3 linked regions of the Sus scrofa genome follow. The protein of the gene in region 1 binds, or shares a complex with, the protein of each later gene. Links are inferred from orthologs where the notes say so. Each region holds a gene or a part of one and is shown on either strand. Other genes may lie near its edges. The genes, in order: RBM15B, METTL14 and WTAP.

The links.
Region 2: RBM15B (region 1) and METTL14 share a complex: the UniProt entries of both Homo sapiens proteins name them as parts of the WMM complex. The link is inferred for Sus scrofa from reciprocal best matches to the Homo sapiens genes RBM15B and METTL14.
Region 3: RBM15B (region 1) and WTAP share a complex: the UniProt entries of both Homo sapiens proteins name them as parts of the WMM complex. The link is inferred for Sus scrofa from reciprocal best matches to the Homo sapiens genes RBM15B and WTAP.

What each region holds. Positions count from the first base shown.
Region 1 is NC_010455.5:33,659,303-33,669,263, forward strand, and holds the start of RBM15B (putative RNA-binding protein 15B), read left to right. Parts: upstream 1-5,084; 5' UTR 5,085-5,169; coding exon 5,170-7,851; 3' UTR 7,852-9,961. Other genes in the region: MANF (mesencephalic astrocyte-derived neurotrophic factor precursor), read left to right, coding at 716-857, 2,483-2,667. UniProt on the Homo sapiens protein: RNA-binding protein that acts as a key regulator of N6-methyladenosine (m6A) methylation of RNAs, thereby regulating different processes, such as alternative splicing of mRNAs and X chromosome inactivation mediated by Xist RNA.
Region 2 is NC_010450.4:105,043,928-105,053,445, reverse strand, and holds part of METTL14 (N6-adenosine-methyltransferase subunit METTL14), read left to right. Parts: 5' UTR 1-23; coding exon 24-89; intron 90-4,050; coding exon 4,051-4,139; intron 4,140-5,054; coding exon 5,055-5,142; intron 5,143-6,209; coding exon 6,210-6,290; intron 6,291-6,683; coding exon 6,684-6,771; intron 6,772-9,518. UniProt on the Homo sapiens protein: The METTL3-METTL14 heterodimer forms a N6-methyltransferase complex that methylates adenosine residues at the N(6) position of some mRNAs and regulates the circadian clock, differentiation of embryonic stem cells and cortical neurogenesis.
Region 3 is NC_010443.5:7,645,452-7,655,731, reverse strand, and holds the start of WTAP (pre-mRNA-splicing regulator WTAP), read left to right. Parts: upstream 1-4,459; 5' UTR 4,460-4,524; coding exon of another isoform or gene 4,525-4,697; intron 4,698-4,797; coding exon of another isoform or gene 4,798-4,963; intron 4,964-5,088; coding exon of another isoform or gene 5,089-5,092; intron 5,093-10,280. Other genes in the region: uncharacterized protein LOC102157641, read right to left, coding at 3,641-4,451, 4,525-4,697, 4,798-4,963, 5,089-5,092. UniProt on the Homo sapiens protein: Associated component of the WMM complex, a complex that mediates N6-methyladenosine (m6A) methylation of RNAs, a modification that plays a role in the efficiency of mRNA splicing and RNA processing.

The sequences.
Region 1 (9,961 bases):
AGCCTTTCAGTAAAAGGCCCTGCCCACCTGCCTGTTCAGGTCACCTGTTCTGTCAGGGAACTAAGATAAGACTGAAGTGCTTTCTGTATTCTGCAGTTGTGATGTTATCCTCTTAGTATTGGTTAAACACCTACTGTGTGGTGGGCACTGGGAGTATCCGGGGAGAGAAATGACAGGCAAATGATGCGGTGGGATGAGTGTCATGAAGAAAATGGGCCAGGATGGTACAGTAGAGAGGGTAGGTGCTGATTTAGGCAATAATCAAGAATTCTTCTGAGAAAGGGTCACCATTGAGGTAAAGGAAGAGCATCCCAGGCAGAGGGAACAACCAGTATGAGTGCCCAGAGGCCAGAGCTATGTTGAGCATGCATGAGGACAGAAGATAACAAAGTGTGCACAGGGTAGGCCACGGCTGAATCGAGGACAGAAGCCCTAATGAAGAGATGGCCTTTGTAGCTTTGACTCCCCTGGCAGTCTCTGGTTTGTCTTTTCTAATTAAAGCTTTGAATCCCGGTGACTTTTCAATTCCTCTAGTGTCTTGTCAGCTCTGGGACTAAGCATGTGTTAAGAGCCTGGCTGAATCTGACTGCCAGTCCAGGCGGGACATGGGAAAATGAGGCCCTGGCAGAGAAAGATTTTTTTGGGGTATCAGTATGTTGGAGGAGACAGCTCTGGAGCGGCACCTCCTGAAGGCCATTGTCCTTTCTTGCTGCAGTGCTACTACATTGGGGCCACAGATGATGCAGCCACCAAGATCATCAATGAGGTGTCGAAGCCCCTGGCCCACCACATCCCTGTGGAGAAGATCTGTGAGAAGCTCAAGAAGAAGGACAGCCAGATCTGTGAGCTAAAGTATGGTGAGTGTGGCCTTATTTAACTAACACTGCACCCCACTCTGCAGTAAAATTAATGAAGTTTACTTTCTAGTTTGGGGAGGCACATGATAAATTAGAGCCTTTTTGAGTGAGATATATGGCATGGTAGGTTGTGCTTAATGGGGGTGAGGAGTTGCATGTATTTGATCATTCATCATGGTGGGTGGAGGTCAGAATAGGCCTCATTGAGGAGGTGACATTTCAGCAAACTTTGAAGGAGGTGAGGGATTTACTAAGGACACAATTAATGGAAGAGCACTTCAGGCAGAGTAAACAGGCAATGTAAAGGCAGCCAGTGGCATGACTCATGGGTGGGCAAGTCACAGGGGGCCTTGCAGATTGCCAGAATTTGGCTTTTAGTTTGAGGAAAGATGGGAATGTTCGTTTTTGAGCAGAGAAGGGGTGTGGTCTGGCTTGGCTTTAACAGGGTGCAAGCTCTGCAGGCCAATGATCTTTATTGCTTTGAAAAGAAAGGCTCTTTCTATGGAGTTCCCGCGGTGGCTCAGTGGTTAACGAATCCGACTAGGAACCATGAGGTTTCGGGTTCAGTCCCTGGCCTCGCTCAGGTGGTTAAGGATCCGGCGTTGCCGTGAGCTGTGGTGTAGGTTGCAGACGCGGCTTGGATCCCTTGTTGCTGTGGCTCTGGTGTAGGCCAGCAGCTACAGCTCCGATTTGACCCCTAGCCTGGGAACCTCCATATGCCGTGGGAGCACCTATTAAAGGCAAAAAGACCAAAGAGGAAAAAAGAAAAAAAAAAAAAAAAAAAAAAAAGGCTGTTTCTCAACGGGCAAGCGCAAGATTATGGGTGCAAGGCATCTCTTTTGCTGAATAAGTCTCTGGTGGGAAAAACACTCTTGGACTTCGGAAAGGAGTCAGGGCCAAGAATAGTTGTCATTTTCGTAAAATTTAAACAGCACCAACAAGAATTCTCTGGTGGATCAATAGGTTAAGGATCTGGCATTGTCACTCTTGTGGCTTGGGTCGCTGCTGTGGCACAGGTTTATCACTGGCCTGTAAAGTTCTCCGAGTGCAGGCATAGCCAAAATAAAAAGTGACTAAACAGCACCAGCACACTTGATTGTGAACTCATTGTCCAAGGGCTGTGTTTGCCCCTTGCCCCCTTGGGTCAAGGATTACTGGTCTTCTGAGAGTGATCCTGGTTCAGTGCTGATGGCTTGCAAGTGGCCATGGGGAGTAAGCTAACTCAAGGGCCTGACCAGGGTCTGTGCTGGGACATTGGAGCTAGGGGATCTATCTGTGCTGTCACCCTGGAGCTCTCATTCTACAGTGATGTGAGCTCTACTATTTAAAAGGCACTTCGAGTGGAAGTCTCATTCCTCTTGTAAAGTTCCTCTTGTCAGGACCATGTGGCCTCTGTCCCTGGTCAACACTGCATGTTTGTGGTAGACATTGCCACCGTGAGACCCACTTTCCTAGTGAAGTGGGGGCAGTGGGCACTGACACACACACCTGCATGTGTTGGCAAGTGTCTCTCCCCATGGGACAAGTAGGGCCACTTGTTTGATGGGATGTTTTCACTGCAGAGGACTATTAGAGTCCATAGTTGCTCCCACCCAGCTGGTTATTCTCCTTGCTCTCTCCTCTAGACAAGCAGATCGACCTGAGCACAGTGGACCTGAAGAAGCTCCGAGTTAAAGAGCTAAAGAAGATCCTAGACGACTGGGGGGAGACGTGCAAAGGCTGTGCAGAAAAGTCTGACTACATCCGGAAGATTAATGAACTGATGCCAAAATATGCCCCCAAGGCAGCCAGTTCACGGACTGATTTGTAGTCTGCCGAATCCCTGCTGCACCTGAGGGGAAAAACAGTTCATCTGTGTCTTCCCCAAACAGCCTTTTTGTAATTTATTTTTTAGGTGGGCTCCTGACAAAGTCAGGTGTGAAGCCTGGAGGAGCTTTCCTGATGATGCTGAGTCTACAGCGCCCCCTTGGAGGGGATTCACTTTGTTCTGTTGCGGGTTTACACTAGGACTTCCAAGTGTGTCTGGAATTTTTTTATTAAAGGAAGAAAATTTCTAGCTGTCCTTGAAGAATTAAAGAGAATACTGAAATAGGGTTTTACCCATAGTGAAGATTTCACCGGTTTGTGCTTTCCAGTTTACAAAGAGTTTTCAGATGCATTCACATTAGTCCTTCAACCATCAGTTAGATACGAGGGTGGGACAGGGGATTGAGGCATGTGGGGTTGTGCAGGACTGGAGGGAGTGCTGGGGAAGAGGTTCAGCTTGATACCCCACCCGGCAGGGACTGTCCTCTTGAGAGGAGCTGATATCTGGGCTCAGCTGAGGGATGTTGAGTGTGGTTTTCTGTGATGATGATTTCAAAAACTGTATGTTCAGCACCATCGCATTTCTAAAGATGCTCATCGCCTGGCTACCTCTACCAGTCACCGGCCAGATGTGGCCATCTACTTGTTCATCTGAGTTTGGTCTAGTGTCAGTCCCATTTGGGATTTTGCAAGTCTGGCAGAGTTGGACTGTACAAAGAGCCAATGAGAGGCTGCTTTTTACCTTTGTTTACCCAAGATAAGCATAACACTTAGGGGTCCTGAGAGTTTGTCCCAGAGTGTCCCCAAGATGGGCTTTTTAGTTGCTCCCTTTGAGGATGGTGCTTAGGAAACCCAGTTGTCAATGTGAGCCTTGACTCACCTCTGAGACCCCTGTTCTCGCACCTCAGGACCACCTGGAGGAAAGGCCTAAGAAGCAGTGCTTTCCAAGGAATTGCCCTGGCCTGGGGTCACAATTGTGCAATTTCTAAATTCAGTTTGCCTACATGAAGTGCCTCTCAGCCTGCTGTGGCATCCACTGATGCTTGTCAACAGCAGGACTGCATTTTCCGCCCTTGCAGCAACATGTCTGAGGAAAGCAAAAAGTTTGAGCCATTTCTCAGGCCAGGTCTTCCAGATTTAGACGAAGTAGATGAGCTGTTAAATCTAACAAGCATAGAGCATCCTGAGGCCCTGAAAGGTGCCAAGGAAGGTCCATGGCTGGAGCCAGAACTCCTACGAGGTGGAGCTGTCTCAGCACCCTAGGTCTGTGTTCCATATCCTCCAGACCACACCAAACGGAAAACAGGCCAATTAACTGCTACCCTCGGGCTGAGCTACAAGTGTCTCTGTCTAGGAAGGGGTTAACTCCTGGAAGCAGATTTCAGAAATGTTACAGGTGTTTCTTCGGAAACATTAACTCTTGGACCTGCCTCAGTTGCTCCGGGAGTTGCTTTCTCTGTGGGAGGAGGGAAGAACCGTGGTGCGTTTTGCTCACTCCATAGTTTCTGTGGCTGAAGTTGGGTCAGGTTCTGCGAACCCTCCAGCAACCCTGCAGAATGAACGCTTCCCCAAGGGGCTTGGATGCTGAGCAGGATTCTCCCTCCCCTCTCCTCGGGAACATATTCCCAGTCATCTCGCCATCTTGGAAGTGGATAGGAGGACGCTGGCCAGTGAAAGGTAAGCATGGCAAGCTGGGTAAGCCCTGGGTTTATTCTCCGCCATTGTTTCCGTGGCCCTGCCCTTACAGCTCTCTTTCTGCTCGAACGCTCAGGGCAGAGGGTGGGGCCCCATGGCACCAAGGAGCCTGGTGCCACTCGGGAAACCGCCGGCATGTCTCAGCTTTCCGTGCCTAGGGCTTCTGCATGCGTGGCCATGCTCCTCATATGGCCTTTCAGAGGCCTGCTGTAGGTGTGCCTGAACGCAGGGGATGCTCAAGATATGGGGCGTGGGTCCTAGGGGGCGGCATGCTTTGGTCCTCAGGGTTGTCCATCCCGGACGACGGTCAGGAGACTCGGGCGAGGTATGGGAGTCACGCAAACCTAGTCTTGGAATTGGGAATATCACGTAAAGAGGCCGCTACTCCCGCTTCCATCCGGCTACCCTGGCCGCCCAGCCCGGAGCCAGAGGCCTAGGTGCAGCAGTGCTCTCGACACGACTATGATTTCCATAGAACTCCGGCCACGCGGTGGCGCCAGAGCTCACTGCCTAGACAAGCTCGCTGGCTTGCAACGGGGATCACGTGGCACGGGGCGGCGCATCCCAATGACGCACACCCGGCGCAGCTCTTGCCCCGCCCGCCTCAGAGTCACGTGGTGCGGGCGGCGCAGCCAGATAACGCGACACCCGGCCCCTGGGCGCCGCTCCCGCCCCGCCCCGCCGCCACCGCCGCGCCGAGTCCTTTTGTCCAAGATGGCGGCGCCGGGGGCGCTGCCTCCTCGGCCGCCGCCGCCGCCGCCGCCGCTGTGAGAGGCCCGCGGGCCGCCCGCCCGCCCGCCGCGCCGGCGCCATGAAGAGGCAGAGCGAGCGAGACTCGAGCCCAGGCGGGCGCGGCTCGTCATCATCGGCCAAGCGACCGCGGGAGCGCGAACGGGAGGCAGAGGCGGGCGGGCGGCGGGCGGCGCACAAGGCCTCGGGCGGCACCAAGCACCCCGTTCCAACGCGGGCCCGCGAGAAACCCCGCGGTAGCGGGGGCGGCGGGGGTGGGCATCGCGACGGCCGCGGCGCCGGGGACGCGAATCATCGTGCGAGCAGCGGCCGCGCCTCGGGTTCGGGCGCCGGCGGCGGGGGACGCGGCGGCAAGGCCTCGGGGGATCCGGGCGCTTCAGGCGCTTCGCCCCGCGCGTCTCCGCTGCCGCCACCTCCCCCGCCGCCCGGGTCCGAGCCCGCGGGTCCCGGCTCTTCCGCGGCCGCACCCGAGTATAAGACGCTGCTCATCAGCAGCTTGAGTCCCGCGCTGCCCGCCGAGCATCTCGAGGACCGGCTCTTCCACCAGTTCAAGCGCTTCGGCGAGATCAGCCTGCGCTTGTCGCACACGCCTGAGCTGGGCCGCGTGGCCTACGTGAACTTCCGGCACCCACAGGACGCACGCGAGGCCCGACAGCACGCCCTGGCCCGCCAGCTGCTGCTCTACGACCGTCCGCTCAAGGTGGAACCCGTGTACCTGCGCGGCGGCGGCGGCGGCGGCGGGAGCAGCCGAAGAAGCAGCAGCAGTAGCGCCGCCGCCTCCACACCGCCCCCGGGGCCGCCCGCGCCGGCCGATCCACTCGGCTACCTCCCGCTGCACGGCGGCTACCAGTACAAGCAGCGTTCGCTGTCACCGGTTGCTGCCCCGCCACTGCGAGAGCCCCGCGCCCGCCACGCCGCCGCAGCCTTTGCCCTGGATGCTGCCGCCGCCGCCGCCGTAGGACTATCCCGGGAGCGGGCCCTGGACTACTACGGGTTGTATGACGACCGCGGACGCCCCTACGGCTACCCGGCCGTGTGCGAGGAGGACCTGATGCCTGAGGACGACCAGCGGGCCACGCGAAACCTCTTCATCGGTAACCTGGACCACAGCGTGTCAGAGGTGGAGCTGAGACGGGCTTTCGAAAAGTATGGCATCATTGAGGAGGTGGTCATCAAGAGACCCGCCCGTGGTCAGGGCGGTGCGTATGCCTTTCTCAAGTTCCAGAACCTGGATATGGCCCATAGAGCTAAGGTGGCCATGTCAGGTCGGGTGATCGGCCGCAACCCCATTAAGATAGGCTACGGCAAGGCGAACCCCACTACTCGCCTCTGGGTGGGTGGCCTGGGACCCAACACCTCACTGGCGGCTCTGGCCCGGGAGTTTGACCGCTTTGGGAGCATACGGACCATTGATCACGTCAAAGGAGATAGCTTTGCTTACATCCAGTACGAGAGCTTGGACGCAGCGCAGGCCGCCTGTGCTAAAATGAGGGGCTTTCCCTTGGGTGGTCCAGACCGCAGGCTGCGGGTGGATTTTGCCAAAGCAGAGGAGACTCGGTATCCCCAGCAGTACCAGCCCTCACCCCTCCCTGTGCATTACGAACTTCTCCCTGATGGATATACCCGTCATCGAAACCTGGATGCCGACCTGCGGGTGCGGGATAGGACCCCCCCACACCTCCTGTACTCGGACCGAGACCGGACCTTCTTGGAAGGGGACTGGACCAGCCCCAGTAAAAGTTCTGACCGCCGGAACAGCCTGGAAGGGTACAGCCGCTCAGTGCGCAGCCGGAGTGGCGAACGCTGGGGAGGAGATGGTGACCGGGGCCTGCCCAAGCCCTGGGAGGAGAGGCGGAAACGGAGAAGCCTTTCCAGTGATCGAGGGAGGACCACCCACTCCCCTTATGAGGAACGGAGCAGGACCAAGGGTGGTGGGCAGCAGGCTGACCGAGGCTCTGACCGTACCCCTGAGCGCAGCCGCAAGGAAAATCACTCCAGTGAAGGGACCAAGGAATTGAGCGGCAACTCCCTCAGCAACAGCAGACATGGGGCTGAGGAGCGGAGCCACCACCACCACCATGAGGCTCCAGACTCTTCCCACGGGAAGAAGACACGAGAGAGCGAGCGCAATCATCGGACCACTGAGGCTGAAACCAAGCCTCTGGAAGAGCCAAAACATGAGACCAAAAAGCTCAAGAATCTTTCAGAGTATGCCCAGACACTGCAGCTGGGTTGGAATGGGCTTCTAGTGTTGAAAAACAGCTGCTTCCCGACATCTATGCACATCCTAGAGGGGGACCAGGGGGTTATCAGCGGTCTCCTCAAAGACCACACTTCTGGGAGTAAGCTGACCCAGCTGAAGATTGCCCAGCGCCTTCGACTGGACCAGCCCAAGCTCGATGAGGTCACACGACGCATCAAGCAGGGGAGCCCCAATGGCTACGCAGTGCTCCTAGCCACCCAGGCGACCCCCAGTGGGCCTGGCACTGAGGGGATGCCCACAGTGGAGCCAGGCCTACAGAGGCGGCTTCTCAGGAACCTGGTCTCCTACTTGAAACAGAAGCAGGCTGCAGGGGTGATCAGCCTGCCAGTAGGTGGGTCCAAAGGCAGAGACAGCACAGGCATGCTCTATGCCTTCCCGCCTTGCGACTTTTCACAGCAGTACCTCCAGTCAGCACTGAGGACATTGGGCAAGCTAGAAGAAGAACACATGGTGATAGTTATAGTAAGAGACACAGCCTAGCCCAAACCTGTCTTTTCCACTCATTTGTGTCACAAAAGCAGTTATTTTAAAATCTGATCCCCCTCCCTTTTTCCCATCTTACCCCTTGGTTTGAATTCTCTGCTGGGTTATTTCAGTTGGTTTGGTAGGGGACCAAAGTCCTGTCCTCCGCCAGAACTAAGTTCTTAGGTTTGGGGGTTTTTTCCTTTTTTTACAGTGATGAGAAGGGACTCCTGTCATGTTGGTTTCTAGTGTATGAAATACTGTCTGCTGTGTTCTGTATTATTTTTTGACTAACTGTATGGAAAGTTGTCAGTAAATACTTTGTCAGAGGATGGATTTTTAATTCTGCTCAGAATCCTGGTTTAATCACAGGGTTTTGTTTTGTTTTGTTTTGTTTTTCCCCCCAAAGAATGGAAAACTTCCCTGCTCCATGCACACAAAGGCCCTTCATCATCTTTGCACCAATGGTGTATCTCAGTCCTCCTGCATTGGTGGCTCTCAGCTCCTCAGCTCTTTGGGCGCTGGACTACATCTGCATTTGTTTTTTATCTTGGCTGAGAGCAGATGGGTTTCATTTTGTACCCAGTCCATGCCGACCAGCGCAGAGCTCATGCACGGGAAGGGTTTGAGTCTGAAGGGTAGCCTGCGGCTGTGGTAGTTTTTAGCTTTTGTTTCCCTGTCCTAAACAATGTGTGTGTATCCATCAGTTTGAGCTGTAGCTACAAAGCACCCATCTTTAGGCCTTTTTGAAAGCAGGTAGTCTTTAGCAGTTGCGTGGTCTTGTCATGGGAGGAGCAGTGCAATATTAATGCCAAGGGGTCTTGGGTGCCATGGATCTGCGCCACCTCCTTCTCTTGTTCAGCCTCCCTTCTAGCCTTAATGCAGCAGCCCGGGGATACCCAATTGGAGACAGCTGCCTCGGACTCCCAGGCACATTGGAAGCCACTTGCTGGAATGGAGAGTAGGCGGCAGCTTTCATGGGTTAATTCTTGAACTTTTCCTGGTGTTTGTGAATTCTGGTTTTTCCTTCAGCTGTTTGGGGCTGATGTGTCAATGGACTGGGCTTCTGCGCAGTCACTGGAGCTTTGTGAGAACACTGAATTGCTGGCCTGAAGAGTTTTTGAGGGAGTCCTGTGGGCTATAGGAAGATGCTCTTGTTAACTGTCGTAACTTTGCCAGGTTCAAGGTGGGAACGCATGCCTTGGCCTCTTGCCCTGATACTGAGGAGGTGGGGACCCCTGGAAGATAGGTGCTTCTGTGGGGAAGTGTCACAGTTGCCGAGGTGTTGGGCAGTGCCAGAGCTCAAAGCCATTCAGGCTGAGCTGGGGAGGAATGTGGAGGCATCCTCAAGCTGGGAGGGAGAAATGGTTTCAGAGAAGTCTCACGTTCTTTGGCCACTTGTCTCTGCTGAGGGTATGACCAGCATTGGCCGATAAAGCCAGCAGTGTCAGGGACCAGAGAGGGAAATCAGTCACACAACAATTGTCACAAGAGAACATAGCTCAAACACCATTTTCCAGAATGTTTGTGGCAGTTGAGATGTTCCAAAAGATGTTCCAACTTGTTCACAGTCAAGGTTGAAGGAGAGCAGGAGCTCCAGTAAAGGAAATGAGTCCCAAGTGACCAGGAGCTCTGGGTTCTGTTGGTCCTGCCGTCCTCTCTGGGTCTGGTCCACCACCCTGGCTGGCACGAGGCAGCACGGGTGACAGCTGGGATGTTTTGAGAGTTTGTAAGGTAGAGGCAGGGCCTCAGTGTGCATTCATGGAGGATATGTACCTTTCCACAGGACAATGAAAGAGGTGACTTTTCCAGACCTTAATAATTGAAGCAGGAAAAGGAAGGGGCCTGGGAAGTACTCCTTGGGCTTCAGCTGATGCTCATGAGAGAACAAGCATGTTCCTAACAGAACATTTAACACAGGGAAGTGTTAGATGTGCTTGTCTGTTTGTACTTGAGCTTTGGTCACCACTGCCAGGTATCTGAGCAAAGCAGTGCAGGGCACAGGCCGCAGCTGCACCATTCCAGGCATTGGCACCACCAGAAGCAGGAGTGGGCCTCATCTTGTGTAGAGCAGATGAGGCAGAGGTGAAGGCACACTACCAAATGTCTGGGTCACTGGCCAGAGCTG
Region 2 (9,518 bases), on another chromosome or scaffold:
TAGTGGAAAACAAGAGTTGGGCCATGGACAGCCGCTTGCAGGAGATCCGGGAACGGCAGAAGTTACGGCGACAGCTTCTCGCGCAGCAGGTCCGCGGCCCTGGGAGGGGTCGCGAATGCGCGTGCGCGGCCGCTCTCTTGCCTCCACCCGTAACCCCCGTTTTCTGTCTCCTTACCTTCCGGGGTGCAGTCCCTTTTGCTCCCATGACCTTAATCCCTGGGCCTGCCTCTTGTTCTCAACTCACGTGGTGCCCCGAATCTTTTCCATGCGAGGTCATTGTGGTGGTGCTAAACCGAACGCCACGTTTGAGTGGTCTTCAGCAAACTTGATGGCCCGCGCAGTGTCTGGCACAGTGCTCAGTGATGGGGATACAAAGCTTTGGTTTTTGTGTGCAAGTTACCGCAGTTCAAGCAATGAAAAGTGACTTGTTTTCCCCTAAATTTCTCTTCACTACTTAAACAGTTGTTTGCCTTTCTTCATAGTCAGCGCTTAATTCTTAAGATTGTGGCTTCCTTGTGAAATAGATTTACAGTATCTTCTCTGGGATGATGTCTGAAGATTGCATTGGAAGTAGCCTGGGTGTAAATCTTAGATTCTGTATCTTGTGTGTTGCAGTCGATTGTGCTGTGTACGGTAACCTCGTCAACACCTACAGCTAATGTTTGAATTCTTACTCTGTATCAGTCACCACAAACGTCTGAAATAGGTAGTATTATCATCACTTAACAGATAATGAAACAGAAGCTTCAGAGGTTAAGTCATTTTTGACCCGGGTCTTTCACCGCTAGGACAGAAAATTGAACTCAGGTTTGTCTCTCCAAAGCTTATCTTCATACTCCCTGTGTATAAGTTAGCATTTACTTAAAGTATAGACTGCTACTTAAGTCTGAGGCTGTGTTTTCCATTCTATCATTCAGATCAGTGAAAGTGATGGGGGAAATGCTCATAGGCTTTAATAGGGCATCTTATTTTTTTTCAGTAATAAATCTTGTTTTTAGTAAGTGGAAATCTGAGACCTTTTCTTTTATGATGTCTTAAAAAGATTTATGGTACAGTGTTTAAAAAGTGGGTATTTGGAATCAGATCTGTCCCTGTCCTTTTGGTGTTGTGATTTTGGACATATCAGGTATCTTTTCCAGGCCTTTCTTTTCCCAGTTTTTTTTTTTTTTATCATGTTATCTTCAAAAATGATCAGTAGTTCTATTACCCCCACTGTTTAGTTTTGAATTCAAACCTCTATTTGATTCAAAATACATTTATAAACAGTTATTTGAGTGTCTCACTATATGCGAGAAGCTCTCGTAGACATTGGGAATTCAACTATGAATAATAAGTAGTCTTACCCTTGAAGAGCTTACATGGTGTGCAGAATTTAATAATGGCAGCCATTTATTAAATCCCTTGTATTGTTAAGACTCTGCCAAGTTTTTACTTATATTTGATCGTACAAGTCAGGTGCTGTCTGCACCTTATAGATGAAGAAAATAAAGCTCAAAGAATTTAGTTACATGCTGCAGTCCACAATGCTTTTAAGTTTGCAGGATGCAGTTTTAGGCCTTTGCATGCCCTTTGCAATACACCTAGTTGCCTCCTGGTGTAGTTGGACAGGAACCATTCCACTTAGGTAAGGATGTTCAATGTAGTCAATGACAGACTTCCACTTTTACCAATTTCAGCCTCTTTTTCACTTACTTTTCTCTGTATGAATAAGACAGACTGGTTTATTACTCTCCAGAATGTGATTTGTGCAATATATACTTGATTTTTAGTAATTGTCCTTCCTTTCTGATTTCTTTCTATCCACTGTGGCACACTCCAGGTCCAAACTTGATGAAATCTATCCTGATCTCCCTGTTTTAGGCTCTTTTCTCGCTCAGCTTCCATTGTCCTTACTGTTGAGTCCACTACTGTGTGTAACTAACCATCATACACAATACAGTTTGTGTGCATTTAATTCCTGTTGTGTTCATCTTCCACCCTAACTTTGTTTCTTGTCCAAAGTAAGCTTTTAATAAATTTTTGTTGATTAATAACTGTTAGAGTACAACTCAATGTGTATAATTTCCCTGATTTGCTTTTGGCTGCTGGATGAAGATATTGGATGCAGTGTATAGGCCCAGACCATGACTGTGGCAAATGATGTGCAATTTACATGTGCTTTTTACTGAACTTGTAGCTTTGTTTCAGAAAATTGCACTTGCTTTCAGATGATACCAAATTGTTGTAATTACTCAAATAATTTATTTAGGGTTACCACAATGGAAAGTCTGTTATTTAAGTTATTCTATTACAGTTTTTAAAAAAAAATTTGGAGTTTGAGAAGACAATTATATATGTGAGCGGAATTTGATTTAAAGCATTCGTCTTGGAGTTCCCATTGTGGCTCAGTGGTTATCGAGTCTGACCAAGAACCATGAGGTTGTGGGTTTGATCCCTGCCCTTGCTCAGTGGGTTAAGGATCCGGCGTTGCCGTGAGCTCTGGTGTAGGTTGCAGACGTGGCTTGGATCCCGCGTTGCTGTAGCTCTGGCGTAGGCTGGCAGCTACAGCTCCAATTAGACCCCTAGCCTGGGAACCTCCATGTACCGAGGGAGCGGCCCTAGAAAAGGCAAAAAGGCAAAAAAAAAAAAAAGCATTCGTCTTGTAAAACATTGTATTCTAATTTAGGCCTTGGTAGGAAATTTCATTTGTTCATTCACATATTTATTGAGCATCTGCTATAAGTCAGACATTATAAGTAGCTGCTGAACTTAGAGATTTCAATAGGACAGAGTTCTCCTCAGTAAGCTAACATTTCTTTGGGAGAGAAGTAAACAAAAGTAAATTGATAAAGTAATTGAAGTGTATCAATAAAAAAATTGAAAGTTGTGATAGAGACTGTGATTCAATATAAATAAAGAATAAACAAAAGTAAAGCTAAAAGTTTGTATTAAGTGCTTTGATCTGAATGAGGAAATTAGGAGATGAAAAGAATAATGAAAGGAGGCTGCCTATTCTATATACAGTATTCAGGAAAGAACCACCTGAGGAAATAATTTGTTTTCTTTTGAGATTTGAAGGGAATGGAGTCAGAGGTGGGAAGAAGGTTAGAAAGCATTCTACCTGTGAGAAGTAGATGTGTCTTCTGACTAAAGAGAAGAGTGATCGGGAATATTTTATGGAAAGTTGAAATAGCAGGAACAGTTGATATCTTGGAAGAGATTTATCATTGGAGAATCCTTAGGGGAGTCATGAAGTGGGTAGTCTGAAGAGGCAGTGGTAATTGTTTAAGATCAAGGCTGGGGACTTGCAGCTTTAATATTGTAGCACGCCTTCTCATCTTTCTTGAGTTTAAGGGGCTATTTAATGATGATTTCCTCATGCCCTTCTTGTACTTATATATATTATGGTTCTTCATGATCTGTAAATTGCATTCTACCCTTCTTGGTTTGGTTTTTAAAGTTTTCCCTGAATTGATCTCACTATGTAGCCAGGCTTATCTCAATAGTAATTTGTTTAGAAAGGTTATATTTTGCAAAATTTCCTCAACTGCCAACCAGAACTTGCATTACTATTTTTTGGGTATTTGTAAAGATTAGTATTGGCACCTGTAATCATTATATACAGCATTGGCTTGAGTAAAACTGAATAGGTATTTATTATATCATGGGGATAAATAAGGTACAGCACATGAGCTGATAGATGCAAAGCATTTAGCATAGTGCCTACCACACTATAAACCCTGTATGTTAGCTACTTTTTTTGGCTATTGCAACTCCTGTTAAATTGTGTTTTATTATTTGCTTTAAAAGTAGAGGACCGGCTCGAGTTGTTTTAATTTCAAAGTAACTGAAAGCATAAAATACTTTTCAGCTGTCAAAATCATTCATAATTAACATGGTTTTTTTCCCAAGGTATTTTCTGTTTTTCCCGCAAGGTGATTAGTCCATTTGCCTGCTGTGGTAGTTACAGGTATTTTCTTTTAATACTTGGTATATTAAATGCTGCTACAAATGGCTGAAAAGGCTATTCAGTGCATTGTGATCTAATTTTTGGTTTTTACCTTTTCCCAGTTGGGAGCCGAAAGTGCTGACAGCATTGGTGCTGTGTTAAATAGCAAAGATGAGCAGAGAGAAATTGCTGAAACAAGAGAAACTTGCAGGTCAGTGGATAATTTTTGTTGTTAGTGACATATTAATATTTGCGAAAGGAACATATTAATAAACAGTAATCCCAGGTATGAAGTATGTTGTTATGATAAGCATTAACATGGAGATTTGGAAAATATTGTATTTTATTGTTCATAAATTATGAAATATTTCCTTTTTTTTTTTTTTTTTTTTGTCTTTTTGCCATTTCTTGGGCCCCTCCTGCCGCATATGGAGGTTCCCAGGCCAGGGGTCGAATCGGAGCTGTAGCTGCCAGCCTACGCCAGAGCCACAGCAACACGGGATCCGAGCCGCGTCTGCGACCTACACCACAGCTCACGGCAACGCCAGATGGTTAACCCACTGAGCAAGGGCAGGGATTGAACCCGCAACCTCATGGTTCCCAGTCGGATTTGTTAACCACTGCGCCACAACAGGAACTCCTGAAATACTTATTTTCTAAGCATAATTCTCATTTACAAGTAGTTTAAAAATAGAATGTTAGACTAAGAATTAGCTTATATACCATAAATAATTTTACTTTAAAAAATCATTATAAAACACACATTTTACCCTAAAGGTAGTATTCATTTGGTAGTTCAGAAAGCATTTATAATTTTTCAGTATTGTAGTTTATCAACTTGAACATCAATTTTGCAAGACAGATTGGAATGATACATAATGTAGAAGTTTCTTTTTGCTATACATGTTATAAAAGCTTATTTTCTCATTTGATTGCTTTCTCATAAAAATATAGAATTATTAATCAGGTTGGATACTTTTAAGATTTATAAAAGGGGTGAATAGATACTGTTTAGTTAGGAAAAATTTGCCCTGTCTGTTTTCATAACCTGTTACTTAATATTATTGTAGCTATATTTATACATCTTATATATATTTGTGTGTGATACTTAGGTTTTAATTTTCAGGGCTTCTTATGATACCTCTACTCCAAATGCAAAACGTAAGTATCAAGATGAAGGAGAGACAGATGAAGACAAAATAGAAGAATACAAGGCAAGTATAAAATGGAACAATTTTATGGTCAAGATAAAAATAAATGTTTGAAATCCATATATTCTTAACCCAGGAAAACAAATTTATCAAAAGCTGAATTTTGACAGAATACTGAGTATATGTAATTAGTAAATTCAGACTTTTATATCAGTTTTCTTATTTTTAACACAAGAGGTTGTGGGTTAAATTCGGCAATGTATATAAAGTACTTAGCATAATGCCTAATAAGCACTAGGCAATAACATTCTTAAATAAAAATAAAAATAAGAAGGGAGATGTATCAGAAACTTTGCAGAATTGAATCAAATTTCGAGATGCTACAGTGCTTTTTCAAGTTGCATTATTCCATGCTAATGATAAAGGATAGTACAACTAAAATATTTTGAGACCTCATGGGTTAGATGGCATTGTAGAACCACTTCTGACAGAGGCCCAAAGAAAAACCCCAGTTTCTAAATTTGTAATTGCAATATTTAGTTGAAAAGAAAGCCAAGGACAAAAAAACTACCTCCATTTTTTCAAATTAATTGTTGTACAGTTGTATTCAATAGAGAAGAGAATAGTTTCAGTAAATCTCTAGGTATAACACCTAATTTAATAAATACTATCGTGTGGTGGTTGCATTTTTATATATACTAACATAGAACTTAAATATTTATGATTAGGTCAAATGATATACAGTTCCTAACATTTTAACATTTTTTGTTAAAATATAAAAATAGCAGTTTTGTATAGTTTGATCTAATAGAAATAAAATTGCCTCATTAGTGGTCATATCTTTTCTGATTTGAGCTAAATTCTAATGTTTAAGGTATTATATCTGAGGTAAATAAAGACATTTATTATTGATGAGAATGAAAAGGAAATTTTTATTTTATTATAAACATAACTAGTTAGAGCTGATGTTGATAAATCAAAGCCTTCACTGTTTGACTTTAACAGTAATTTGAAAATTTTATTGTATCTCAGGGAAATAAAATACTTAGGAGTCTTAATATTCAAGATATCATAATACATAAACTATTCCTCTTATATATAAAATGTCTACTTTGTCTTCCTTTTCCAAGGATGAATTAGAAATGCAACAAGAGGAAGAGAATTTGCCATATGAAGAAGAAATTTACAAAGATTCTAGTACTTTTCTTAAGGTAAGTAAAGTGTAGTATTGGTGCCTGTAATCATTATATGCAGACTTGGCTTGAATAAAACCAAGTAGGTATTTATTACAGCATGGGATAAATAAGGTATAATACATGAGTTGATGGATGCAAAGCATTTTAACATAGGGCTTACCACACTATAAACACTATGTTAGCGACTTTTTTTGGCTATTGCAACTACTGCTAAATTGTGTTTTATTATTTGCTTTAAAAGTAGAGTACTGTCTTTAGTAGTGTCTGTAGATAAGAGTAGTACTACCATTTTAGTGGTGATGTTTTCTTTTTTTTTAATCTATCACTTATATTTTGTTCGGCCTTATAATAAAAAATAAAGTTCAGAGTTAGCATACCTACCATTAATTATTTTGACTTTTTCTTTAGGGAACACAGAGTTTAAATCCCCATAATGATTACTGCCAACATTTTGTAGACACTGGACATAGACCTCAGAATTTCATCAGGGATGTAGGTATGTCAGATTCGTTGGGAATATGCTGTTGCTAGCTCATGATTACATGCATGTAATTATCCATTTTGTGGTTAATTTCTAACAAAATGATGTTTCCTGGCTTGGCTTCCCCTTTCCACTCTTAATACTTCTGGTACACGCTCTTTTTCTATCAAGCTGTGTTACTTTTTTCCTTCTTTCCTTTTTCCTTCTTTCCTTCATTTTGGTTCTGTGACTATCCCTTATTTTTATTTTACCTTCACTTACTACTTTGATGCTCTTTCTTTCTTTATGTAGATCTGATTTTCTGACCTGTGTTATTTTCCTTTTCTCTAAAGAATTGTCTTTAACATTTCTTGTAAGGCAGGTCTGTTGGCAGCAAGTTCACTCAATTTTTGTTTGAGAAAGTCTTTATTTCTCCTTTACTTTTGAAAGACTAATTTCATAAAATATAGAATTCTAGATTGGTGTTTTATTTCTTTGAACACTTTATATATTTTATTTCACTTCTTGCTTGTTTCTGGGAATTTGGATATAATTCTTAGCTTTGTTCTCAATAGGTAGTTTTTTTTTCTTTCTGGTTTCTTTCAGGATTTTTCCTTTGTCTTTGATTTTCTGTAGTTTGAAAAATATGTATGTGCATATACATATGTATATATGTGTGTGTGTATTTACATATACATATATGTATATGTATAGTTGGCTTTTGTTTGTTTGGTTTGGGGGCATTTATCCTGTGGTACTTTCTGAGCTTCTTGAATCTGGGGTTTGATGTCTGACATTAATTTGGGGAAATTCTCAGTCATTATTGTTTCAGATATTTCTTCTGTTCCTCTTTCTGTTTTTCCTCCTTCTGGATATTTTCATTACATATTACACCTTTTGTAAGGTGGTGTCCCATATTCTTTGGATATTCTGGCCTTTTTTTCCCCAATTTTTTTTTTTTTTTACTTTTCACTTTTTGAGATTTCTATTGAAATATCATCAAGGTCATATTCTTTCCTCAGCTGTGTCCAGTCTGCCAATAGACTGCATTTTTAAAAACAGTTTGAGATAATTCATGTACCATACAATTCACCCACTTAAAGAATATAATTCAGTTTTTAAAAAATATATATCTACAGGTTTATACAATTGTTACTGCAATCTTAGAATTTTTTTTAAAAAATTGAGGTATAGTTGATTTACAGTATTAAATAAGTTTTAGGTGTACCAATAGTGGTACAAAGATTATACTCTATTATAGTTATTATAAAATATTGGCTGTATTCCCTCTGCTATACAATATATTTTTGTTGCTTAGTATATGTGTAGAAGTTTATACCTCTTAATCCCCTACCCCATACGGCTCTCCTACTTTCTTCTCCCCTATGGTAACCACTACTTTATTCTCTCTATCTGTGAGTCGTTCTTTTTTGTTATATTCACTAATTTGTTTTATTTTTTAGATTCCACATATAAGTGATAATACACAGTATTTATCTTTGACTTAATTCACTAAGCGTAATACCCTCCAAGTCCATCTGTATTGTCGCAAATGGCAAAATGTCATTCTGTTTTATGGCTGAGTAGTACTCCATTGTGTATATACACAGACACACATCATATCTTCTTTATTCATTTATGTGTTGATGGACGCTTTGAGTGCAATTGCTGATCATATGGTAGCTCTATTTTTAGTTTTTTGAGAACCCTCCATACTGTCTTCCACAGAGACTACCAATTTATGTCCTACCACCAGTGGATACAAGGGTTCCTTTTTCTCCACACCCTTAGAATATTTTCACCTCCCCTAAAGAATCTGAGTAGTTACTAGCAGTCAGTTCCCATTCCTTCTCCCACAGTTGCTCCCCAGCCTTAAGTAACCATTAATTGACTCTTGTCTCTATTGGTTTGCCTATTCTAGACACTTCATGTAATTGAATGAAGTGTAATATCACTTCATTGTGATATTTTGTGACTAGGCTTTTTTCACTTAACAATGTTTTCAAGTGCCATTGATGTTGCACATGTATCAGTACTTTATTTCTTTTTTTTGCCGAATAATACTCCGCTGTATGTTCATACTGCATTTTTTAATCTATTCATTTGGTTGTTTCCACTTTTCGACTATTATAAACTCTACTGTTATGAATATTCTTATAAAGGTTTTTTGTGGATGTATGCTTTCATTTCTCTTGGGTATGTGTTTGGTAGTGAAATTGCTGGATCATGTGGTAATTCTGTGTTCCTACTTTTTGAGGAGCTGCTCAACTGTTTTTCAGGGCACTGGACCATTTACATTCCTACCAACAATATGTGAGGGTTCCAGTTTCTTCACATCCTTGACACTTTCTACTATCTGTCTTTTTAATTCTAGCCGTCCACTATGAATTAGTATTTCATTGTGGCTTTGATTTGCTTTTCCTTAGTGACTAATATTAAAAACCTTTTCATATGCTTATTTTCCCACTTAAATACCTACTTTGGAGAAATGTCTCTAAACTGCTTATTTTTTAAATGGTTATTTGTTTTTTTATTATTATATTGTAAGAGTTTTTAATATATTCTTAGTAGAAATCCCTCATTAGGTGTATGATTTATAAATATTTTCTTCTGTTCTGTGGGTTGTCTTTTCACTTCCTTGATGGTATCATTTGCAACACAGACATTTTTTTTTTTTTTGTCTTTTGTCTTTTTGTTGTTGTTGTTGTTGTTGTTGCTATTTCTTGGGCCGCTCCCGCGGCATATGGAGGTTCCCAGGCTAGGGGTTGAATCGGAGCTGTAGC
Region 3 (10,280 bases), on another chromosome or scaffold:
TTGCTTTTTAGGGCTGCACCCATGACATATGGAAGGTCCCAGGCTAGGGGTTAAATCGGAACTGTAGCTGCCGGCCTACACCAGAGCCACAGCAACGCCAGATCCGAGCCTCATCTGTGACCTACACCACAGCTCATGGCAACGCCGGATCCTTAACCCACTGAAACGAGGCCAGGGACTGAACCCCCAACCTCATGGTTCCTAGTCGGATTCATTTCTGCTGTGCCACAAAGGGAACTCTGGCCTGCTTCTAGTCAGCTGCCTCCAGCTTCTCTGTGCCAACAGCCTCCAACAGGGCGGGCACACGTGAAGCCTTTCATCTCACTATGAAGCCTTCCCACTCCTGTCTGCCTTCGAGTCACCCAAATGCAAGCGATGGTGAGGACGCCTGTGCTATAGCAGATGTTCACAGGAAATCATCTTTATCACGTTATTGAGGTATAATTTACATACACATGAGGATAAAATTAATGACATATACAATAAAGGTATCACATACATGAGGAATAATTCACATTAAGCTCACTCATTTTAGTGGTACTCCTGGATTTTTTTTTTTCTGGCCTTGCTATGCACGTGGAAGTTCCTGGGCCAGGGATGGAACCTTCGCCACAGCAGCAACCCAGGCCACTACAGTGACAATACGGATCCTTAATCCACTGCACCACAAAATAACTCATTTTTCTTTTTGGGATGAATATTGACAAATGTATCTACTGGGTAACCATCACTCTAATCATAACGTGGGATATTTTCTTTCTTTTTTTGCTTTTGAGGGCTGCGGCATATGGAGGTTCCCAGACAAGGGGTCAAATCGGAGCTACCGGCCTACACCACAGCCACAACAATGCCAGATCTGCAACCTACACCATAGCTCAAGGCACCGCCAAATCCTTAACCCACTGAGCGAAGCCAGGGATCGAACCTCCATCCTTGTGGATACTAGTCAGATTCGTTTCTGCTGAGGCACAACGGGAACTCCCATAATGTGGAATATTTTCATCAACCTCCCCCCCAAAGTTCCCCAGGTTCCTTTCCAACTGATTCCTGCTCTTCTGCACTCAGAGCCAAGCACGGATTTGACTTCTCTCCCTGAAGATTAGTCTTGCCTGCTCTCCCGAGTCCTGCTGACATATCTGCATCAGCCTAAGCACTTCCTTTGCACCCAGGCACAACAAAACGTCTATTTCACCCTGTGCTTTCCCTGACCCAGAACTGGAACTAGACACTTCTCTGAGGAGCTCTGGCTCTATTTTGTGAGAATGGAACTTAGGAGTCATGAGCTGGACGCCAGGTGTACTGCCACTGTTACTGTCAAGGTGACCAGCCATCCCGGTTTGTCTGGAACACTTCCGAGTTTTGTGTTTTGTTTTTTTTGTCTTAGGTCTTTTTAGGGCCACACCTGCAGCATATGCAGGTTCCAAGGCTAGGGGTCAAATCGGAGCTGTAGCTGCCGGTCAACACCACAGCCGAGTCTTCAACCTACACCACAGCTTACAGCAATGCCAGATCCTTAACCCACTGAGCAGAGCCAGGGATTGAACCCGCGTCCTCAAGGATACTAGTCAGGTTCGTTAACCACTGAGCCACGATGGGAACTCCCACTTTCAGTTTTAACACAATAGCATCTGTGGAAATCCTCAGTCCCTGGCAAATTGGGACAAGTGGTCACCATCCTAGTGCTTCTAGGCCCTTATGGGGCACAGACCTAGGACATTTACTTTTAAAATCGTGTGCGCAAATTGATATATCCAATTCAAAGGTATGACGGATTTTTTTCCTGAACTTCCTTGATTTTCTATTTATACCTCATTTCTCTTACACTGAAAGTCTTGTACTTTAAAACACTAAGGAGTTCCCATTGTGGCTCAGCAGGTTAAGAACCCAACTAGTATCCATGAGGATTCGGGTTCAATCTCTGGCCTCGCTCAGTGGGTTAAGGATCTGGCATGGCCAGAGGCTGTGGTGAAGGTCACAAGTGTGGCAACAGCAAATCTGATGTGGTGGCATCAGCTGGCAGCTGCAGCTCTGATTCAGGCTCTAGCCCAGGAATGTCCATATGTCACTGGGGGCAACCATAAAAAGAAAATAAAATTAAATTATTTGCATTATCCTACAATACACATAGTTTCAAAGCCACAGCAACAATACTACTACCATTAATTATAAAACAGAGTGAAGCTAAAGATTCCTTTGCACTTCTTTCTCATCCTTAGACTATATCCCACCAGATAATTCTCTTAGAGTACCCTGTCCAAAAGTCCTGGGGAAATAATCCTTTTCTCTGTGTAACAACACAGTTACGCTACCAATGTGACTCAGAGTTAAGCTTAATTTGCTATCAACTTTTGCTTCCTTTTAAATTTACTTTCTCTGCTATATAAAACTTTAAAAGTTCAAATTCAGAAAAAGTGTTGCTTTTCTTTCTCCTCCACCACCCTCTATATGTAACCCCCTTTTGTCCCGTCCCCACAGCATGCAAAATTCAGGGGCCAGAGATCAAACCCATGCCACAGCAGCAACCTGAGCCACCGCAGTGACGACACCGGACATTTAACCTGCGGAGCCACATGGGAACTTCCGCAGATAACCACTTATTTTTCTTTCTTTCTTTCTTTTCCACTTTTGGCCACCCCACAGCATATGGAGTTCCTGAGCTGCTGCAACTTCGGCAACACTGGAACTTTAACCCACTGTGAGGGGCCAGGGACCAAACCTGCCACACGATGCTCCCATGATGCCCCCCCCAACCTTTGCCAGTTTCACCACAGCAGGAACTCCTAGATGAATGACCATTTTTACTGTTTCTAAGATATGCTTCCAATTTTCCATATAGGTTGGGATGCATTTCATAGCAACACATAAATATTATCCTCATACTTTATGGTTGTACTGTATCCCATACCCCATGGTAGGGATGGATCATGTATAGCCAGTTCCCTACTAACGGACATATGGGTTATTTCTTTTTCTCTTTTTTTTGGTCTTTCTAGGTCTGCACCCGCAGCATGCGGAGGTTCCCAGGGTAGGGGTCAAATCAGAGCTGTAGCTGCCGGCCTACACCACAGCCACAGCAACGCCAGATCCATAACCCACTGAGGGAGGCCAGGGATCGAACCCATGGATGTTAGTTGGGTTTGTTAACCGCTGAGCCACAACAGGAACTCCGATTTCTAAACTTCTGTGAGGACAGTGCAACAAGAAACCTTGCCTACATGTTATTTCTGTATGTGAGGATGTATTTTCAGAATCAGGTTAGGGTTAGAGGTGGAATTTGCAAGACATGTGAATAAGTGCATATATAATCTTGGTACTCCATAGGGCTTGAATCACTTTCCAATTCCTACCAGAAGGTTAATGAGCACGGTTTATTCGTAGAATTCCAATGTGCATTTCCATTACGCGCGAGGACAAACAACCGTTCATATTTAAGGATCATTGCTGTTCTTTGGTGTGAAATGTCTATTCATGCCTTGCCCATTTTTCTCTTCGGATTTTGGTCTTTGAACACACTTTAATACTATCCTTATAGATTATCTCATTCCAGCACACGTCCTGAGGATAAATGGTTTGGGTAAGGCTAGATAATACCAGCCAAATTAAAAGAATTACCTGAATATATTCAAATTTTAAAACTTACATTACTAGGTTCAAAAACCTTCCAAGGTTCTCCGGTCCCTTGTTTCTGGATGACCAAGGTGCCCCTAGGGCTGCTGACATACGCACAACCTCTCCGCTAGACAACAATAGCTCCCCGGTTGCGCCTCGAGATGTCAAGGCGGGGACAAACCAAGCGTCCAAGAGGCCGTCCTTCCCGAAGAAAGAGGGAGCCCCGGTTTCTAAATTCTCAAAACCTAGTGAGGCCTCGCGGAGTCCACACTGCCCAGCCGCCCAGCCCACGGCCCGCTGCCGAGGTCGCACCTGGCCGCCAGCACGCGGAAGCACCACGGCTGGGAGCTGCACCAAGACGCGGCCAATCACGCGCCGCCTTCGCCCAGATTCCTCCGCCAGAGGCCGCGCTGCAGCCGCAGGTGGCCCAGCGAGCGCGTCCAACCAGCGCCACCGAGCGCGACCCCCGCCGGCCTTCCCGTGATGCCCCGCGGCTGACCTGCGACCTCGCGGCTCACCCCTCCCCGCGGCCCGCTTCCCTCCCCGCCCCCGCCGAGCTGGAAGCGCTGGGGCGGCCGCGGGCCGTGCCACTAGGCGCAGCTCCTCCCCGAGCGCCTCGAGGCCCCCAGCGGGCGCCTTCCATTCGTCTTTCCTCTCCGCGGCGGGGCCTGGCGGGCGGGTCGCTGCGTCCGCGTCCGGGAGGTGACTCGTCGGTGAGCGGGCCGAGCGCGAACATGGCGGGATGGAGAAGGGCGGGCGCCGGCGGCGGCGGCGGCGCGGGGCGGGGCGGCGCGGCGGGAGGAGCGGGGAAGGGGGTGGGGCGACGGGGCCTCGCTTCCTCCCTCAGCGCCATTTTGTGGCAGCGAGACCCGCAAATAAAGGGGAGCGCCAGGGCTGCGGCGGGAGGAGGCGCGCGGGGGCCGGCGGCAGCGCGGTCGGGCGGCCCGGGCAGCGAGCGGCGGCGCGCGGTCGGCCTATGTGACTGGGCGGCGCCCGCGCGGCCTCCGTCCGGAGAGGTAGGTGCGGGCCGGGCCCCGGCCAGAGCGGCGGCGAGGACCTCAGGGTCCCCGGGGCTGAGGCGCGGCCGCCTGGCCCGGCAAAGGGGCGGACAGGGCACGGAGGGCGACTCGGGGTCCCCGGGCCCGCCAGCCTCCCGTTAGCCGCGCCGCCTTCCTGCTGCGGGCACACTTCCGCCGCCCCGAGGCCATTTTACCTTCGCTCTCCGTCTCCGGGCCCGAGGGCGAGGTGGGCGCTCCCGCGGGCCGGCGGCACCGGGAGGCCGCCCCCTCGGCGCGCGTCCCGTCCCCGCCTCGGTGCCGCCGGCGCCCACCTCCTTTCGAGCGGATCCCGCGGTCTGGCGGCACCCACGAGCTCAGCAGGGGAGGGAAAGCAGCGTTCGTTGACCGAATTTCACGTCGCGCAGTGGGGTATTACCGCCGCTGCGTTTTCTTGTGGACTTCCATTTTCAAATGATTGCACGCATCGTGGTTTTTAAAATACATGCTCTTTTGAGCCCGAGATCTTCATAGCATTTTAAACTCTCGTCTTGGATTCCTATAAAGCTGTTTTTAATTTCTTAGAACCCTGTTTCTCTAGTCAGTGGGGAACACCTCAGTGGGAAAGTCCAGGTTCTTGTTTTGATGAAGTCACTTGGCTGTTTGATCCCAAAGGACTATGTGAAAATCCTAAGGAACCCTGATTGTGAAGTAGGAAACTGTTCTTTTGCCCGAGATAGAAAAATACTTCCATGGGTATGTTACAGTCCTGAGTTGCTCCTCTCGTTTTCCATCTCAGAATTTAATTAATTCCATTGCTGAAGAAGAAAAGTGGAAGTCACAGGTCTTTCACCCCAAGTTCTAAGCGGGTTTTTTGCACTTTTAAAGAAAACTTGAATTGTTGATTTACAATGTTACATGAGTGTCAGGCGTACAGTGGAAGTGATTATCCACTGAGTTTTTTATTTTAAAATTTTGACTGTTAAGGTTTCTGTGACATAAACATAGAGGTATTTAAAGCTCTGTTAAAAAATTGCAAGATGCCTGCATTTTATTTATTTACACCTGTCATTCAGTAGCGTCCGATTAGGCAAGTTGGGAAAAGAAATCACGAGCATTAGAAATTGGGAAAGATCTTGCTGTATACACAGGGAGCTGTATCTAATCACTTGTAGTGGAACCCAATGCAGGGCAATGTGAGAAAAAGTGTGTGTGTATGTATATATATATATAAATAACTGGGTCCCTTTGCTGAACAATACAAGTTGACAGAACATTGTAAATTAACTATAATAAAAATTTTAGACTAAAAGACAAAAAATTTGACAAAAACAAAAAAAATTTAAAGAAATTGGGACTTGTGATAAAGATGGGGTTCGATTTTAAGGGTTTGGGTGGCTGTATTCCTTGAGTTCTTTCAAATCTTGCATTATTTTAAGCAGATGGCTGTAGTTAAGTGATCAGTATTTTCACTTCTCAGTGGTGGAACTCAGGCAATTTCGAAGTCCAGAAGGACAAAAGTAATAATAAGTGTGTCCCAGGCACTGCTGTTTTTTACTTAGCTCATCTATGAAACTTAATAATATCTAGATTTCTGGTTGAATTTTGTGTATTTGCCAGAAATGAGTTAGTATAGTGTAGAAAACCCATGGCAGCGTTATGACGTGGAGATGACAGTTGCAGTAATACAAGTTATTAGAAGTTATTAGCTCTGAAAGCTAATAATTATGAAGTTATTAGTTTTCAGGGTCCCTTACAGTTTTGTGTGTATATATGTAGACTGGAATACCCTAGACAACATTTTTTTAGATGTCTTGTTGATCATTTTCATATAATTGTACATTATCTCACTTCTGAAAAAAATGTTCCTTGCTCCTAAAAATTTGTGGGATCCTTTGGCAAAACAAGACCTAGATAGTGTTCATTTGGTTTATTCTTGTTTTTTATTATCACTCACTCTTCTGCCTCTAAATATTTTCTGCCAAGCTTGTCAGAGCAAAACTTCGATTCTTATAACAGTGTATCTCATTGGATATAAAGGTGGTGCATCAGGTTAGAACCAGTGCTATAAGTAAATGTTCTCAAGTCTTGAAATATAGTTGGTGGAATTTAATCTTTCCTAAAAGCACATTAAAGTTCTCTTTTATGTTAATGTTAGTATTTAAATTTGAATTTTTTTTGTTTGTATGGCATCTTTATGGCACTTGAAGCATTGAGATGTGCGGCACTTTGCAAAGCAGGGAAAATTGGTATCCTCTTCTTGCTGATTGGGAGACTGCAGTCCAAGTAGTGGCTTGCTGCTACATAGTCAAGACAAGCTGGTCTTCCAGTTCCTCACTAGTAGACTTTACAGTGTCAGATTAGTTCCTTAAGTTGGATTATGATTAGTTTCAGCGAGGTACATGCTTTCTTACTGAAGTTGTGTGGGCTAGTGCGTGATGCTCTGTTAAGGGAGAACTTACGACACCAAGAGCCAGGGAAGTACTGGAATCTGGGATGCTAGACACCTAGCCAGCCAAAACTGAGTTCTCCAGCCAAAGCTGTCTGTCAGTGTAAAGCATCAAGAGTAGATTCTGACATTCTAAACACGAGAACTATATTATTTCTGAGTTCTTGACGTGGATAACAAACTTTTACATACAACATAAAATAGTATTTTAACCAGTCTTCTTAAGCTTGCTAAAAGGTAGCCAGATTTGCCGGTTTTTATTTTTTTTCTCTTGCTTTTTTCCGTTCTCTACTTTAGCTAGCTAAGCTTAATCATTGTTGAGGATGGAGGGGTGGGAGAATGGTCCATCTTCATCATTACCAGCTTTTAAGAGGCACTGAGTTTGGGGTCCTAACTCCCTATTTTAGATTAATAGTTGTTTTAATCTGACTCATAACTCTTCATCATCTGGAAAATGGGGACTAACTTTGAAAAGTTATGGTTATTAAATAAGTGACTCATAGCAGTAGGTATATATTCATTTTTTTCCCTTCAAGATTTAAGGTTCAACTCCAAATGATAATTCAGTTACTCTGTTTTTCTGATATGAGACTAGACTGTTCTAAGAACCTGCAATATACATGCTCTTTATGAATCTAGAATTGACTTTAAGTGGTTATTGTGCTTGTCAATTGTGCTTTTTTAAAATGGCCTTGAAAAGTAATAAATTGCATAGCACATGTGCAGTGTCAAAGGCAGAATTGAGGATCAGGTTCTATTTTGAATAAATAGTTTGAATGTTGGTGTTTTCAAATTTTAAGGCTGTTCTAATTTGCCTTTTGCCGCACTGTCCATTTCACTACTGTGGCACGTCATGGAATCTCAAGCAAAGATTGACTTTTCATCAGCTAAAGATGAGGGAATTTTTTCTAAATGCTTATGCTTTGATTTCCTAAGTTACATATTCCATAAGGTGGAATGACATGTGATTGAGAGCCAACATATGAAATGCAAATATATATACGAAACTCGTATTTACCCCGACTTAACATTACACATTTAGATGTTTGTTTTTATGAAGAAAATCTAGATATCCTCTAAGCAATGTGTAATTGAAGTCTACCCAGCATCAAACTTTTCAAAAGAGAGTAAGCTATGGCTAAAAATGTAAATAACCTGCTGTTAAGAATTCTGAAAATTGGGGGGGGGGTCACCAAGAATTCTGCAGTGGGGCTTAGAAACAAAAACAGGAACATGTTAAGATTCTTATCCTCAATTTGTGAATTCTCTCTTCAGATTCTTTATGAAGTATGATTGAGCATCCTTATTTTTTATGGTGGTTTTTTTCTTTATTCCCTAATGGGAAGAGGGAAACTAATAATAAAATGCTTACTTTGTGTCAGTCACTATGCCAAAAGGCTAATATTTATTTTCAAAAATAGCACAATAATTTGGAGCTATGCTGGTGGTAATCCTTTTTAAAATGGGGAAACTGAGGCTCAGAGGTTCTCCTGCTTTTTTTGTTTTCACAGTTTGCCACCTTCTAGAAAAGCAGGGTTATTTGAACTTCTTTATGTGTTTCCCAGTCCTTCAAATACCCTTTAAAAACAGTTTAGCTGATTTACTGCTAATTAAAGTTGCAATTAGGTTTATTTTAATACTCTTTTAAGAATCTGTATAAGTATATATTAAGAAAAGAATGAACAAATAAACCTGGGGGGAGGTGTCAGGTTGTAGAAACATGTACTAGTTTTTAAAATGAGTTTATATTAAATATTATCTATGATACTCAAGAGGTTTTGTGGGTTTTGTTGTTTGTTTTTTGTGGATACTAGTCTCATTTCCCCTGTGCCACATGGGGTACTCCTCACTTTTACGGTTTGAATAGTAACCGAAACAAATTCATTTGTCATACTTTGCATTTACGGTGTTTGTTTTTTTTTTTGGTCTTTTTGCTATTTCTTTGGGCTGCTCCTGCGGCTTATGGAGGTTCCCAGGCTAGGGGTCGAATCGGAGCTGTAGCCACTGACCTACGCCAGAGCCACAGCAACACAGGATCCGAGCTGCTTGTCTGCACAGCTCACGGCAACACCGGATCGTTAACCCACTGAGCAAGGGCAGGGAGCGAACCCGAGACCTCATGGTTCCTAGTCGGATTAACCACTGTGCCACGACGGGAACTCCTATGGTGTATTTTAATGCCTACTATATGTACTGTGGCAGCAGCAGTGACTGATTCTTTCATGGAGCTTATAACTGGGAAGAACAGCTAGGTATATAAAATGTCAGGTTGGAGTTCCTGTTGTGGCGCAACGGTAACGAACCCAGCTAGTATCCATGAGGATGCAGATTCAACCCCTGGCCTGGCTCAGTGGGTTAAGGATCTGATGTTGCCATAGCCTGTGGTGTAGGCCAGCAACTGCAGCTCCAAGTCAACCCCTAGCCTGGGAACTTCCATATCCTGTGGGTGTGGCCCTAAAAAGCAAAATAAAATAAAATGTCAGGTCATGGGAAGAGTTGAGAAAAAAATAAAAGGGATAGCAAGGAATTGGTATGCACAATTTTTGAGTCAATGGCAAAATTATTTCTTGTAGTTTGTTTTTAATTAAATACATTATCTTTCTCCTATATTTAGCTCTAGGCAAATGGGAAGTTCAAGGAAACATCACACTTGATTGTGGATTCCAAAAGGTTGCAGCCTAGTGGAGTGAACTCACATTAAAACCATGGTAATATTGGAGTTCCTGCTATGGCACAGCTGGTTAAAGATCTGACATTGTCTCTGTAGCTGCTCAGGTTGCTGCTGTGGTGCAGGTTCCATCACTGGCCCAGGAACTTCCATATGCCATGCGCACGGCCAAAAAAAATACCAAAAAAAAAAAAAGCTAAAATGGAAGTAGGCCTCTGGAGATAAATATGGTGAGAGTTTGCTTCCTAAATGATTGGATTTACTATTGGAACTGCTTGGGATAGTCACTAAGCAGCTGTCTCTAACTTGCAGCAGAGAGTATAAGCTGGGTAATTGGGGGCCTAAAGTAGACAAAGACCAATTTAAAGAATACAGATTTTTACGGGTTCTTTGGTAGTCTAGTGGTTAGGCTTTCACTTCTGCGGCCCAGGTTCAGTCCCTAGTCTGGAAACTGAGATTCCCACATCAAGATGTGCACACCGCAGCCAAAAAAAGAACGATTTTTGTTTTTTTGTCTTTTTGCCATTTAGCCGTTTCTAGGGCCGCTCCCGAGGCATAT